Diceros bicornis minor: one gene and its partner. The protein of the gene in region 2 interacts with the protein of the main gene of each other region in a biochemical or structural test. Links are inferred from orthologs where the notes say so. Each region holds a gene or a part of one and is shown on either strand. Other genes may lie near its edges.

Region 1 (8,412 bases), on a different chromosome or scaffold from region 2:
CAAGATCTGGTCTGTAATGTTTTATATTTTAAAATCTAAAACAAAGTAATAATTCATTGATGGTAAATTGTTAACATATTTATGAGAAAAGTGTGGCAGAAGATATGTGCCTCAGATGTAACTGATAATGGGTGCGGGGTACCGATAACTTTCACCATACAGATGCAAAAAAGGCCAGTATTAGAACACACCAGAGGGAAAAGCAGTCAGTGAGGTAAGGGGACCAGTAAGCAGGATGCTTAGCCAGAAGGTAATTTATATGTGGAAATAAAAAGCAAACCAGAAACACATTCAAGGACACACTATACTCCAGTGATGAAATAAATGCAAATTTCAATTCAACAGAATGACGTAAAACCCAGTAACCTATCACATTCCTCCATGGACCACACACCCACCATAGACTCTTCTAGATGACATCTAGTCCAGTGTTGACCAAGTCCACACTTCTTTTTTGAGCTAAAGTATTTACCTCATTTCATGGTTAATTTGCAGTACCTGCCCCCCAAACAATTATACTTACTCACCCACTGAATAATTATTTGTTGAAACTCTGTATATAAACAGCATTTTGCCAGAGGCTGTGGAAGAATACGAGAGAAGACAATAAGCTCTTTTCTTTGGGCTCATTTAATCCATATAACAAACTATCATATAGTTATTATTTTTCCCATTTTACAGATAAAGAAATTGAGATTCAGAGAGCTTAAAACCTACCCCAAATCACCATGCTGACATAGCCATATTTCTGAGCCATAATTCAGTTTGTCAGACAACCCCAAAAACCGTATCCTATTCACTGTACTACAAGGACCTCTCAAAGCCCAGGGGAGATCGTCCTCTAACTTTCCTGCTCTTACTATTTTATGTGGGCTATACTCACCATGTATCATGAGTTATGTTTCCCCATTAACCCATACAATAGAGGCAGACTAGAAGAATATTGTCATAATTTTTGAACCAGTAATTCCAATTGTAGGAATGATTTACAACAACATAATGAAAGAAATCCTTTAACAAAATTAACTACTCCAGATCAAGGAGAATAAAAAACAAATTTAAAAAAATTTTAAGGAACAAAGTAACACCTAAAATCCTCCACAGCAGGCACTGTGCCAAGAACTTTACATATACTTCCATATCTAATAATCACAGTACTACACATAATACAGGCATCATCAGCCCATTTTACAGGTGAGGAAACGTCTGTATGCAAGTTAAGTAACGCGCCAAAATTCATATAGCTAGTTACGTGGGGCCAGGGTCTGAACCCAGGTGGTCTCATTTCCAAGTAGGCATGATTAATCAATAAAAGTTTTCTCAACTTTTTTATAACCCAAAGTAAGAAATATATTTTACATCATGATCCAATATGCACACACACATATAAAAGTAAGGTAACTTCTATAAAACACTATTTAGCTTAATAATACATGGCAAAAATCATTTTTTTCAAGACGCTGGTTTTGAATCCTGAAACTAATTTCTCATGACTCACAATTTAAAAGATGCAGAATGCTTAACTACCTCAAAGATATAGTATTTACTGTAACTATAGTAGAAAAAAACCTAAATGGAAATAAACAGTCAGCCACAGAGCTGAGTAGTAATTATGAATGTAAAAAAATTGTTATTCAGAGAAAATGCCATACATTGCTTAGAACAAGGCATAATGCTTATATATACGTATAAAGTACATAAATATAAAATAGCTATGCTAAGATAAAAAAGAATATAGGCAATTACATCTTTATTTTTAATTTATAAAGATTTTTATTTTTCTTTACAAACTGGGGTAGTTGGTAGTTAAGAGGCCAGATAATAGCCACTTCGCTTTTATTTTCTAGACACCAAAGCAATTTACTGATGTGTTCTTTCTTAAATATCTGTTCCAGATCATGGTACAAAGTTTCCCAATTAATTTTATAAAGCTAGCAAAATTTTTATACCAAAAAATACAGTCAGTCAAACAAATCAAAACAAAATGAATCCTCCCCTAATATTTTTATAAGTGAAAATTTGGAACCAAATAATTTACAATATGAACAAAAGTTTGCAAACACATCGTAAAGCTACACACATTTAAGCGTTAGAGAAATATGCTCCCCCTCCCCAACTCTCAGGCCTCCGCACTGTGCCTCTGACCCTTCCCCCAGGAGTCCCCGTGAATCTATTTCAGATTTCAAGAGGAGGGGGCTGGGCCACCGGTCCCAGGCCTGGCCCTGGCCTCCTCATCTGCCAGAGCCTCACAGTACTGCGCTGGCCAGTCCCTGGGGTCTTGATTATGGACTTTGGCCACAAACTTAAGAACTTTCATCTTGCTGGTCTCCAGGTTGGTTCGCGGGCCCCACTGGAATTCATAGTCCACAGGATCAGTGTGGGGTATCCGCCGGTACTCCAGGTAACGCTGCCGCACAAAGTCTTCAGTAATGAGTTTCTTTGGGTCCCCAAAAATCAAATGCTTCTTTGTGGGGTACACCCCTAGACGACGCAGGAAGTCCCAGACCTCGGTCTCCTTGATGGTGTTGCCCTTCATGAAGATGAGCCCCAGCACAATCATCAGCAGGCCGGTGGTGGGCGTGCCCTGGTCGCCTCTCACCTCGGCATCCTCCTCCACGGGTTCCAGCGTGTTGATGAGGATGTAGGAGTTGCTCTTGGGTTCCAGCTCCACCAGCTTGTACCCGAAGACGTACTCGAGGCGCTGCGCGGCCAGTTTCAGGAGGTCCGCGAAGATGTCCTTGTAGTCCCCGACGACGTGCTTCAGGATGTCCGTCCGCTTGATCGGGATCTTCTTCTGGTCCTTAATCAGCAGGAACTGCACCAGCTCGGCCACCTTCAGCTCCAGCTGCTTCTGCGAGCGGGGCCCCACCGCGGGGGAGGCCTCGGCCCCGCGGGCGCCCTGCGACGAGGTGCTGCGGACTTCCTGCGAGCCGCCCGCCCCGCGGGAGGTGCTCGGGGCCTCCTCGGCGACGCCGCCTCTCGGGGCCCGGCCGTCTCCGCCGCGGCCCCCGTCCCTCACCCTCTCGGCCTGGGCGCTGGGGCGGCCCCGGCTCCTCGGTTTCTGCAGCATGTCACCGGCGGCGGGAGCCTGGCGCCAGCGCCGACTCCGCAGGCGGGGCGCTCGCCCTAACGGACGGTGGCGGCGGGAGAACAGTGCACGGCGGGGATTGTGGGTCGGCGCGCGGCACGTCGGGGCGGCCCTGGGCGGGGCCGGAGGGGGCGCGCGCTGCGTCACGGAGGCTGCGCGCTGCGTCACGGAGGCTACGCGTTGCGTCGGGGAGTGGGGCGGCCGCCGCGCGTTGGCGGAAAGCAGTAGGCGTGTCTGCGCAGTCCTGTGGGTCACATTAGATTAAAGGTGGCGTCCTTACTAAACCCTACAAATAGAGAACAGGAGCCAAAACTCCTAAATGAGTGTGCGGCTGAGTTCAGGACCGCACAGGCTCAGGCAGGTACTATAGAAAGTGAGTATTAAAGAAGTTTAAAATCGGGAATATTTTTAGATGGAGGGAACTCAGGATGAATTGTGGGAGAAAAAAGGTGAAGAGGAAGGTGAGAGCGTGAAAGTGAAGCAGAATCATTTCTTTCTGCACAAAACTGGACATAAAAAGAGTGAAAGACCTGGAGGACTCCTAGTTGGCTTTGCCTTCGCTACTCCCTCCCCTCCCTTAAATTTAAGCTCTTAAGCGTTTACCACCAGTTACTTTCTCTAATGCCTCTAAGTGACCATTAAAAACGAATGTGGTAAAGGGAGAGCTTGCCTTGCAAGCAGGACTTTTCCCATCTTTTCACTCTTTCAGTATTTCTATTCTATGCATTAAACTCCATCAGTTAGACAACTACAACAAAACCGCCACATAAAGAACGTTTCAGTGAGGGGTTTTTGCTTGGTCAAATGATTCTGTCTTTGGAAAGCACATGCTCATGTAAACTGCCTTTGGGCCCACAACTACGATTGTAGCAGAAATGGGTAAGAAGAATGCTACAAACAGAAATGTGCTCTCTCAAGAGATTACCATTTAATTTTGGGCATCACTGATCAAGAATTGCAATAATGTGAATCTCTTAAATTTCTTAATTCTTAATATATCAGCCTTAGGGCGCAATGAGAAAGAAAAGAGAACCCAGGAGTATCATCCCTCATAATCTGTGATGTGTGCACTTTGTATATATATTTTTTATTGTGCAACTCTAATAGCCAACGTGAGTCATTTCATTAACTCAAACCATCTGCAATCTGCTGCCACTATTTTTACAGATCTTAGCAAATGTGTTGCTTTTCTATTTACTGACTTGTAAAGAAGAAACTGAATTTCCCTCTGTCTTTTTAAAGCTACCCAGAAAGTGGGTAAACTCTTCAAAGAACCAAATCAAATTGAGTTCCTCTTTAATGCAAATATATTCAAAGGAAGCAATTCAAAACACATTATTTGAATAATAGCACCAAAACACAATGTTATTAAAATTTCATTAAATGTTAGTAGCATAAAATTTTTGTTTGTAATTCAATATGAAAATGCAATCTGATAATGGCCCTGACTGCAATACTAAATGTAAAATGATATGCCGTGTTGTGATGCAAGTATGCTAAAATCTGGTAAACTATGAGTAATAACTTTCTGTTCCACACAAGATCTAACAATAAATCCCCAAGCATCAATCTTAATGACTGAAGCCTACTAAGAAAAACAAATATATCATGGAGGCATTCATTTTTTTACAATAAGAAAATTCATCTGCTTCAGTTTCCTTGCAAATTAAAATTTGGACTCAAGTTCAAAGAAACCTCCTGTGATCAAGAATTCTGCAAAAAGTCCCTCCAGAAAGATAATGTTGAACCCCGAGTAAAAAAAAAACTCAGCAACCAAGAGATAACAAAAATGGAAAATAAGATGAAAGCCATTGTCAACAGTTGGGCTGGTTTTTCAGTGTTTTTTCTTGCTAAGGTATTCACTTAAATTACCAAGTAGCCCCACAGGTCAAGCTACCCCTGTGACTCACTGTGTGAAAATCAGCAGTGTCCATCAGCTGCATCTTTTACCCAGATAGCAGATTGTCATACTCAAAATGAGTGAGAAAAGATACCAGTTTTACGTATTGAAACACCTCTCTCTGCTGTGTCCAGAAGAATGCAGGTGAGAAAATACAGACATAAAATAACAGTATTAGAATGAAGTTTAGGCATTGCATGGAGAAGTCACCCAGACCCACCTCCACCTTAGATTGACACAGGAAGCCATGGAGTTTGAGGAAAAATTGTTGTGATGATGGTGGTAATAATAACACTAACAATAATAAATATAAACAACAGCTACTGATTATTTCAAAGGTAAGTGGGTCAGACCCTATTCTAAGTGGTCTTCATGTATTACTTCATTTAATCCCACAACAACCCTATGAGGCCTGTGCATTTACTGTTTCTCTTCTCATAAATGAAGAAACTGAGGCACAGAGAAGAAGGTTAACAGTTTTGAGGTCCTACAGCAAGTAAGTGGTAGATCTGATCTGAACTAAGGCAGTCTGCCTCCAGAGACCGCTCCTAACCATCTGCTGATTGCAGAGAGAACATAGATATGGTGTCCTTGAAAAGGTAGATATGGTGTCCTTGAAAAGGTAAAGATCTGGGAGTCAGATGGACCTATATTAGAAACCTGTATGACATCCAGAAAGCTACTGACACTGCTTTCTGTTTCCAAGATTACTCATCCAGGCTTCAGGGGACTAAGTGAGATAGGTTTGCCAAGTCCTAGCACAGGGCTGGGACAGGGTAGTTGATAACCATGTGCTTCTTTCCAGGGGGTTTATGTTAAGGAAAATACTTGAGGACTATACAAAGCTGTATGTAGAAAGATGTTTACTGCAGTAAAACACAAGTACACACAAAAATCAGAAAAAAGTCTGGAAAGAAATATATCAAGATGCTATTAAAGTTATTTTCTTTCAAAAATGAAATCTTTCTTGGCAGATAAAAATATATTCTCAAGGAATTTTAACTTCACAGTGAAACCATGCTATAGCAGTTATACAATTCAAGTTTTCAGTAAATTCAGTGTGATCTGAATATGACTTTCGTGACTTTTTTTCAGCCAGTGAAGTAATAAAGACAAGTGGCTAAAAAAAGAAAAACATTTTCAAACACTTTATGTTAATGACCTTAATACTTTTATTACTAGACCCAAAAGAAAAAAAAATAATAATTCTTTGAGGCAAAAGCTAAGCTAGCTAAGATTTCAGATGCATTGAACAAAGAAATGCCTACTACCAATTGCTCTTTAGATGTCTCTCAGTAATTAATTGCTTTATTTCATCTCCTTGGTAGCAAATGCCTGCCAAGAAGCTCTAATCATCTTTATCTTCTACTGGATTCTCCTCTTCATTCACTGGCATTTCTTGCAGAACCAGAGACAGGTTTTAAATTTTCTGACAGCAACCTAGCGCAAAAAGCAGGTAAGGTCGTTGCGGGAAGAAAAGCAATGATAAAAGCATGCAGCCACCATATATGAGCAGCTTTGCTGCCTTTTCCAGTGGAAGAATGTGGGACAGTGTGCAGCAGGCGAGCAAAGTAGTTGGCGAGGGGCCCGGGATACTATTTTGGTGGGTAGATAGCAGGAAAAACAGTCCAGATATTTTAATGCTTGCAATAAAATCCCTTGTGTCCACTCATACATAACAAAGATGCATCCTGGTTAAATTATGTGATAGGACTACCTAATAACACTTAGTCTCTCATGAAAGAATACTTTGATTAAATGGCAACAGAGCTTTCCTTGGCTGGTGGAAAAGGGGTGGAGAGGTGGGGCTTGAGGAGATAGCTCTTTCCAAGCATTGTAGCCATTTGGTCCAGAAGCCTCTTCTTAGACTCTCTTTTCAAGAAATATAAGTCTTCCGTTACCCAGGGCCTTTTACTTATGAAAATCATTAAGGCCTATTAAGTTATAAAATTACCAACACATAACGTCTCTGTAGTGGCCAGTGTGTTTCTTTTTATTTGCTTGTTTTTGCTCCTTGTTCTGCATCCTTTTCCTTTAGGAACTGCCTCTTTCCATCTCTGGGAGACCTTGGTAAGGCTCTGCCGCCTTTTCCTGGGTGCACGTGATTCAGGCCAGCCACAGTGACCGGTTCGGAAGTCCAATCATCATCCTTTCAGGAGTTCTTACAGGTTCTCTTTCCTCTGAGCGAACAAGCTGAAGGGTGATATGAGCCTAGCCACCTTCGCCTTTGCTTGGGAATAACCTGCCTCACGGTGAAGCCAACTCAAACGAGCTCTAAGAGATGGGGATACAGTCCTAATGCTTTCATCTGAATCCCTGGATCCTGAGTTCAAGGTAGAACTCCTGGGGATAACTAGTTACTGGAGCAAGTAAAATCTCCTTTTGCTTTATCTGCTGGAAGTTGTTTTCTCTCACTTGAAACTGCACAAATTCTAGCTAAACAGTATTCAAACCCATTATGCAGGGGAAAAGAGGGTACGAAGGAATGAGATTATTTCAAAGGAATGGAGCTAGACGAGGTTAATATTACCTATAAGGATATTTGAATGTAACGAGAGGTGATCTGAATCTAATTTGACATTTTTGTTATGTTTCTTGGCAGTGTTCTGTGGTTGAGAAGTTTACGATTTTAGTTGCAGGCAATAAGGGCAAGAAAGAGATCGTGACAGATTGTTTTTCCATATAGAATGTACATATGATCTAACGTAGTGATCTACCTCTGCAGAAAGGAGTTTCAGACAACCTAGAACACACTTTAAAGCATCTCCTATTCTAGAGTAGCTGTGTTCTCCATGTTTGATCCAAAGCATCTCCCCACTGGCCACACCATGCAAGAAGACAGAAACCTCATTCTTTCCTTCTAGACTTCACTTTAGCCTAACGCAGAGGTACCCTCACAGGGCAAGGGCACCAAGAAGGAGAACAGACAAAGCTAATACCCAGAGAGGGACAAGGCAGACAGGTTTTGAGAAAACTGAGCAAATTGAAAGGGATAAGAATAAAAGAAAAGAATCAGAGAAAAATATGAAAATACTGAAGGCAGACAGTTTTTGAGAAAACTGAACAAATTGAAAGGGATAAGAATAAAAAAAAGAATCAGAGAAAATATGAAAATACCGAAGGCAGACAAGAAAGAGCCCATATAGGCATAACTGGTGGTCCTGAGGGACACAAAAATTATAAACACAAAAATAGAAATAATAATCAGAGGTACACTAGAGGTGGCTGTAGGAATCCTGGGGAGATGGTGGGTTTGCACAGGTCCTGTGTCTCTGATCCTCCCTCCTTTCTAGTTCCTTCCCTGGGACTCAATCAACAACCAGAGCAGGCATGCTTTCAGAGCTGGAGAGTAGTCAGAGGGCATGTGTTCTCCAAAACCTGCAGAGGAGAGAGCCAGTACAGGGCTTCCTCTTTGAGATGCAAG
Region 2 (8,128 bases):
GGCTTCCCTCTTGTCTTCAGGGTACTTAGGCTCAGAGTAGCCACTTGAACTCTCGCCTCTGCCTCTTTTGGCTAGGCTATCCGAGTGGCCGTCATCAGTGTTGGCAGTATCCCTCCACCTGGAAGTACTGTGTGGCATATCATCATCATCATCAGTATCAAAAAACATTTTTGGTTTCACACAGTTTGGACTTGCCAGATTTCTGATTTTGGGCCTCACCACTGGTTCCTCTGCACCCTTTGGGGTGTTTTCCCCACCACCACAAATACTCACAGGAGCCCTGCCCGGACGTGCAGGCAAATTCTGCTCCTGTCTCTCCCGCTCCAGGCTATTACCATTTGTAGCCACTTTGCCTTCATCAGCAGGTGTCTGAGAGACCATGCTATTTTGCTGCAGAAACTCAGCTCGGCTAGCAGAGCATCTTGCTGCAGGGGCTGGGTCTAACTTGTCAAGCTCCTCTCTCACATCACGGTTAAAACTAGAGAACTGTGGGGGCACCCCAGTCAGAGACCTCACCCCTTTCTCTGGGTCATACAGCTTATCATCTTTAAACTTGCCAGTTTTCCCTCTCACTGGTGCTCGCTCAACAGGCCCAGCCCCCTCCTCCTCACTATCATCTGCCCCGAAAGAGTCAACATGTCCATAAGCCATTCCTCTTCTGCTACCCGAAGCCCTGTACTCGCGTGGCGGGTACCTGGTGTAGTCCTCATTGTCAACATTCAGGCTGGTTCCCGAGCTCTCACTGTCGTCCCAACTACGACGAGTGGTGGAAAATGGCGAGCGGCTCCTCTTGGTGGTTTGACTGGGGGCTGATCTGTGCATTGAGACTTCAGATGTCGTCTTTCTCTGACTGGAAATTCTTTCCTGCTGGCTCGTGGACGGCCTGAAACTGACATAAGCATGCCTCCTTCCATACCTCCTGCCTGTGTTGGACTGATACCCTCCTGCTGGCTTGGGCCATACAGGCTTGCTAGATTCCTGACCCATTGCTCTGACTTAGGAGGGTTTCCAATACAGCTTGGGGCTCGAGTGGAAAGGCTCCTGCTCCCTGTACACACTTTGGAGATGGGAAAGTCAAATCAGTTCAGAATAAAGGAGCAGGGAGATTTACTTTCACTTCAGCAGGCAGGTAACAGAAAGAATAAGGGGCCTTTTAAATTAGTTTCACTTTCTTCTAAGGCCTGGAGTAGCATTCCAGTGACTGTCAGGTGTAGACCTGGAACACATTTTTAATGTTGGCAAAATGATTACAAAACTGGATTTGCAGGAAAGCCACACTTAGAGGAGAATCTGACAGAAGACGGGGGGTGACTGGATGCTTGGAAGGGGGGTGAAGTACTGTGGAATTGTGCCAACATGGGAAGAAGAAAGGCTGCTGCAGGTTTTTTACGGGGTGTCTGCGTTTTTTGGAGCCCTGCAGACATACAGGAGAAATGCAAATTGGAAAAGGGTGGAAAATATAGATCACCATGTGTGCAGGAGTGCCTATGTGTCTAGCAGGAGGAGAGAAGCAGGTGGAAGGGGGACCAGCAATCATGCAGTGGAGAGATGTCTGTGTTTGTAGGGGGAAGGAGCATGTGACAGTGACATTGGGAAGAGGTGTGAGTGTCAGAATGAGACCCATTCTGAATGTATGAAAATGACAGGTGTGGATGGGGTGGCTTTAGAGGAGAGAGGTGTGTGTGAGTATGAGAGAGAGAATGTGTGTGTGGTGTTGTATGTATGGCAGCTGGAACTCTATGCAGGGATGCCTGTGCTTATGCATCTGTGGCAGGCAAGGAAGGGTACGGTGGCATTGGACAGGGACGTCCATGAGTTTGTGTGTGTGTTCATCAAAATGGGAGGCAACAATGGAGAAATGTCAATATGAGCAAATGCATCGATGAGGACAGCACTGGAGAGGGATGTGCTTGTGGCGGGCAGGCGGAACAGGGGCCAGCAATCAAAGAAGGTCTGTATGCATGAATGTGGCTAGCAGGGAAGGGGGTGGCGTCCCTGGAAAAGGATTTATGTGAGTGTGTGCACCACAGGGGCCAGCAAAGGAGGGCTGTCTGTGCATACAAGTAGCAGACAGGGAACAGGAGAGGGGAGCATTTAAGAGGGGTGTGTGAACAAGTGTGTGTGGGGGCATATGTATGTAAGCAGCATATGAAAGAGGAGCCAGCAATTGAAGGATATCCTTATGTGTGTATGTGGCAGGCAGGGGATAAGATGGTCCCAGAGGGAGGGTGAGTGTGTGAGTGTGTGTGTGTGTGTGTGTGTTCTCCAGAGCATGAAGAGGCAGAAGGAGGAGGGGGCCGCTTCTGGAAGTGTGTATGGGACAGGAAGTGAGAGGTAGGGAAAGGCACTGGACGGTATGACAATGTGTGAAAGGGTGTGTGTGCGTGTGTGTGTCCATGCATGCGCGGGGGAGGGGATGCATCGCAACCTTGAGTATGGGGAGATGGAGAGGGGGCTGCAATGGAAGGTTTCTGTGCGTCTGTGTGTGTGCATGTGTGTATGTGTGTGTATACGCGTGCATGTGTGTGTGTGTCCCCATGTGCGCACTTGGAGACATGGGGGTGGGGGCGGCACAATGTCATAGTGAGAGACAGGAAAATGTTATCAGTCCAAACGGTAGATCCAAACCAAACAGATATGACAGGGAAGGGGAAAAAAGAAAGAAAAGGGCGTATGTGGATATAGTTTTCCCGGGGGAATAATTTGTTTTTCTGCCAATTCTTTTCCTGGGAACAATATATTTACCTAAAAATCTTAACAATTTACCATTCAGCAAAACAACTGCAAAATGGGGGAAGAAAGGCCACGGAGTGCTGCGCAAAGGGGCCAAGAAGGGAGGAAGGAAGGGGGGGAGGAGAGGCAGAGAGAGGTGGGAGAGGGCCGTGACACCACTCCCCTCTCATATAGCGATTAAAGCCATTCAAGTGGGGGCCGTGCCACACGAAAGGGGCTGGAGGACGGAGGATGGAGCCCCAAAACAGGCCAATGGAGGACACAGGCCTCACTCTGCAGTCAGGTCCCGCGTCCGCCCCACCCCTTCCCGAGGGGCGAGCCTGAAAATCTGTCCTATAGAGCCCCCCACAATTCTCGCCTCCGTGCCCAGCCACCCGCCCATGCCCGGCCAGTCGTCCCACTGCCGCGTCTGAATAAATCGAGGAAAGAAACCGCCTTTCACTCACCCAGTCCCGACCCCCGTACGCTCTCGAGAGGAACAGAGCTCTCAGACCTCCGACCGCCACGACCGCCAGAGCCGCTGCTCCCGGGTCTCCAGCTCCTCCCCCGCCAGACAGCAGTGGGGCGGGCGGCGACTGCGGCGGCGGAAGTGGTTGTGGCGTCGGCTGGGGCCCGCCCCCTTGATGTGGCGGGGGTGGCAGCCGCTCTCGACAAATCAAGGAGGGCCCGAAAGCATTATTTCATTTTAAATGATGAAATCGTCAAGGATACAGAAAAGGACAGCGAAAAATGTAACCAACAGCCAGCTTTAACAAATGTTAAACATTTAGCCATATTCCCTTCTGTTCTCGGTTTTTTTTTTTCCAGTAAAATGAAATCTGCAATTCTTTCTGATTAATTCCAATGTGAAAGTAATTATATGACTATATCATATCCTATGTTATGTGGTATGGCTTGTACTGGAAGTATTAAAAATGTGAAACTGTATTTAGGGTTGCAGTAAGCTTAAATTTTTTTAACCTGGTGGTTGAAGCAAATTGAACTGTTTACAGTAGAATTGTTGCTGTTAATCGCAAAATCAAGTTTCTTGACTGAAATGAAAAGAAATGATCGATCATGAAGCACACACGGGTTCACATTCTGGTCATTGAATTGCTGTGCCTTTTAGAGTTATACAATTTTCTTAAACTCTGAACTCTTTTTTATAAATCGCACTTTACAATGTTATCTCTAATATTTACATTGAATGTCAAGACATCTATGTTCACAACAATAACAAAGTTTTGTTCTGACTGGAAATAAAATGTAAAATAGAAGAACAAGAAATTTTAAGGGTAACAATAGAATAGAAATAGGCTGTATAACTTTCAAACCATTAAAGAAATAATATGTAGAACAAAGAGAAAAACTCAGTCTAACAAAGGGTAGAAATGGGGTGGGAGGCAGCAAGAAAGGATGTTAAAAAATAAAAAACAAAGGGCAGGAATAAATGCAAATACATCAGTATGTATTATGGGTTAATATCTCCTATAAAAAAGCAAACTCTCATTTTGAGCATTTCGTTTTTAGAAATCCAGTTATATGCTGTTTATATGAGTTTCACCTAAAGCAGAAATAGGAATAGAAAATATATGCCAGTGAAATACTAGCGGGAAGGAAGGAAGAAAAGAAGAAAGGGAGGAAAGGAGGGAGGGAGAGAGGAGAAGGAAGGAATTTAGGGAAAAAAAAGAGAAGGAAAGAAGGAAGAAAGGAAAGATACATGTAGAAATATTAATATCAGAAAAATCAAAAACTCAAAGTAAAAAGCATTAAAGAGAACAAAACAGGTTGTTTCATTCACTGAGAAGATATAGTCACTAAAATTTATATGCCAAACAATGTAATTTCAAAATAAATGAGGCAAATATTATTAGAAATGTAAAGAGAGATGAAAAAGTCTGCAATTATCGTGAGAGATTCAACCGCACTTGTTATGGTATAGATAGATCACATAGACTGCAAAGAAACGAGGATATAGAGAGATTGAACAACACACTGAACAAGCCTGATCTAATGTATACATATTTTTTGGACTCAAGAAATGATGTATTTTTTTATAAAAAATATTTCAAACATACAGAAAAGTACAGAGTATAAAATGCATATTTGCATGTACCTGTCACACAGGGTGAGCAAATTTTATTTTCTTCAGATCCTCAGATCCTTCTGTTTTTGAAACAAAATATTAGAGTTGAAGCTCTCACTTTATTCTATTCATCTTCTTTTCCCAAAAGAAGCACTGTTTAGAAGTTTCCTTCTTGTCCGTGTTTTTCTTTTTCTACATATGTATATATCCATAACCAATACACATTATTCTTTTATGTATTTTAAATTATTTAAATGTTATTATAATAAATACATTCTTTTGCAACTTAAATTTTCACTTATTTTTTTTGAAATTTAGCAATTTGATACATTTAGATCTAGGTCATGCATTTTAACTGCTGAATACTATTGTATTAATTTTCCAATATAGTATTACTATAATATATTATATGGACATCTGTTGCATCAATTATCCAATTTCTTTATCTCTTTCCCTGCTGATAGACTTGGGTTGTTTCTGTTTTGTGCAATTATAAATGAGGATTTAATGAACATCCTAGCACATGGCTCCTCGTGCCCATATGGATGAGTTTCTCTGGGGCAAACCTTCCCAACTGGGTAATGGGTATTCTGACATATCAATGCCCTTAGCTCTCCAGGAAGATGGGCCTGGCTTCACTCAGCTGCTGCCCTGGGGACTGTTGCCTCTGGCTAAGAGCAGACTGTCTGTTCATCCCAATGAACTGGCACAATTATTAGCATTTTAACATATGCTCTGACGTGAAAAAGATTGGAAAAAATTGCTCTAGTGTATGTACATTGAAGTGAAGTTTCTGGGTCAAAGGGTATATAGTAGTTATCTATTGCTGTGTAACAAATTGCCCCAAAACTTAGCAGCTTAAAAAAACAAAGATTTATTACATCAGAGTTTCTGTGGGTTAGGAATCTATGCACGGCTTACCTGGGTGCCTCTGGTTCGAAGTCTCTCATGAAGTTGCACTCCAACTGTCATCTGGGGCTGCAGTTTCATTTGCAGGCTTAATTGAGGAGTGAGGTCCACATCAAAGCTCTTTTACTTGGCTGTTGGCAGGCTCAGAAAATCCACTTGCAAGCTCACTCATGTGGTTGCTGTCAGGCTTCAATTCCTTGTCATGTGGGCCTATCCACGGGCTTCCTGAGTCTCCTCACAACATGGCAGTCGGTGAGAGAAACAGCCAAAGAGCACCTAAGATGGAAGACATAGTCCTTTTATGACTTAAGCTCAGAAGTGACATCCCAACACTTTTGCCATATCCTAGTCGTTGAAAGCGAGCCACAGAATTTGTCCATTTCATCTAAGTTATCAAATTTGTAGGCATGGAGTTGGTCATAATATGTCTTTATTATCCTTTTGATGTCCGTGAGATCAGTAGTAATGGCTCCTCTTTCATTTCTGTTATTCGTAATTTTGTCTATTCTCTTTTTTCTTTTCTTTTTCTTTTTCTTTTTTTAAGTAGGGGCAGTATCTTTTTTTTTTTTTTTTGGCAGGGAAAGATTCACCCTGAGCTAACATCTGTTGCCAATCTTCCTCTTTTATTTTCCTCCCCAAAGCCCTAGAGCACAGTTGTATATCCTAGTTGTAAGTCATTCTAGTTCTTCAATGTGAGCCCCTGCCACAGCATGGCAACTGATAGACGGGTGGTGTGGTTCCACTACCAGGAAATAAACCTGGGCTGCCAAAGCAGTAAGAGCACCAAACTTTAACCACTAGAGCATCAGGGCTGGCTCTACTCTCTTTTTTTCGTGGTGAGCCTGGCTAAAGACTTACCAATCTTATTGATCTTTTCAAAGAATCAGCTTTTGGTTTTGTTGATATTCTCTATTGTTCTGTTTTCAATTTCATTTATTTCTGTTCTTTTGTTATTTTCCTCTGCTCACTTTGGATTTAATTTGCTTTTCTTTTTCTAGTTTCCTAAGGTGGAAGCTTAGATTATTGATTTTAGATCCTTCTTCTTTTCTAATATATGTATTCAATGTTATAAATTTCCCTCTAAGCACTGCTTTTACTGCATCCCACAAATTTTGTTGTTATAGTTTCATTTTCACTTATTTCAAAATATTTTTTCAATTTCTCTTAAGACTTCTTCTTAACCCATATGTTATTTAGAAATGTGTTGTTTAATCTCCAAATATTTGGGAATTTTCCAGCTATCTTTCCGTTATTGATTTCTAATTTAATTCCACTGTGGTCTGAGAGCACACTTTGTATAATATCTATTCTTTTAAATTTGTTAAGGTGTATTTTCTGGCCCAGGATGTGGTCTATCTTGGTGAATATTCCATGTGAGCTTGAGAAGAAAGTGTATTCTGCTGTTGTTGAATGAAGTAATCTATAAATATCAATTAGATCCAGGTGATTGATGGTGCTATTCAGTTCAACCATAGCCTTACTGATTTTGTGCCTGCTGGATTTGTCAATTATTGATGGAGGGGTGTTGAAGTCTCCAACTATAATAGTGGATTCATCTATTTTTCCTTGTAGTCCTACCCATTTTTGCCTCATGTATTTTGATGCCTTTTTGTCAGGTGCATACACATTAAGGACTGTTACGTCTTCTTGGAGAATTGACCCCTTTTATCATTATGTAATGCCCCTATTTATCCCTGATAATTTTCCTTGTTCTGAAATCTGCTTTGTCTGGAATTAACATAGCTACTCCAGCTTTCTTTTTATTAATGTTAGCATGTATCTCTTCCTCTATCCATTTACTTTTAATCTGTGTCTTTATATCTAAAATGGGTTTCTTGTAGAAAACATATAGTTGGGTCTTTTTTTATTTTTATTTTTTTTTGTGTGTGTGTGTGAGGAAGATCAGCCCTGAGCTAACATCCATGCTAATCCTCCTCTTTTTGCTGAGGAAGACCGGCTCTGAGCTAACATCTATTGCCAATCCTCCTCCTTTTTTTTCCCCAAAGCCCCAGTGGATAGTTGTATGTTATAGTTGCACATCCTTCTAGTTGCTGTATGTGGGATGCGGCCTCAGCATGGCCGGAGAAGCGGTGTGTCAGTGCGCACCCGGGATCCAAACCCGGGGCCGCCAGTAGTGGAGCGTGCACACTCAACCGCTAAGCCACAGGGCCGGCCCTGGGTCTTTTTTAAAATCCATTCTGATAGTCTCTGCCTTTTAATTGGTGTAGTTAGACCATTCACATTTAAAATGATTATTGTTATGGTTGGATTAATATGTACCGTATTTGTAACTGTTTCCTATTCATTGTCCTTGTTCTTTGTTTCTCTCTTTTTGTCTTCCATTCTTTTTCTCTCTTCTCTGATTTTAATTGAGCACTTTATATGATTCCATTTTCTCACCTCTCTTAGGATTTCAATTAT

Evidence for each region.
Region 1: the proteins of PJA1 (region 2) and NSMCE3 form a complex in vitro, tested with the Homo sapiens proteins (2 studies listed by BioGRID). The link is inferred for Diceros bicornis minor from reciprocal best matches to the Homo sapiens genes PJA1 and NSMCE3.

The regions. Positions count from the first base shown.
Region 1 is NC_080744.1:79,174,772-79,183,183, forward strand, and holds the start of NSMCE3 (non-structural maintenance of chromosomes element 3 homolog), read right to left. Parts: upstream 3,165-8,412; 5' UTR 3,071-3,164; coding exon 2,183-3,070; 3' UTR 1-2,182. UniProt on the Homo sapiens protein: Component of the SMC5-SMC6 complex, a complex involved in repair of DNA double-strand breaks by homologous recombination. The complex may promote sister chromatid homologous recombination by recruiting the SMC1-SMC3 cohesin complex to double-strand breaks.
Region 2 is NC_080781.1:62,653,381-62,661,508, forward strand, and holds the start of PJA1 (E3 ubiquitin-protein ligase Praja-1), read right to left. Parts: upstream 3,264-8,128; 5' UTR 3,180-3,263; intron 1,217-3,179; 5' UTR 988-1,216; coding exon 1-987. UniProt on the Homo sapiens protein: Has E2-dependent E3 ubiquitin-protein ligase activity. Ubiquitinates MAGED1 antigen leading to its subsequent degradation by proteasome. May be involved in protein sorting.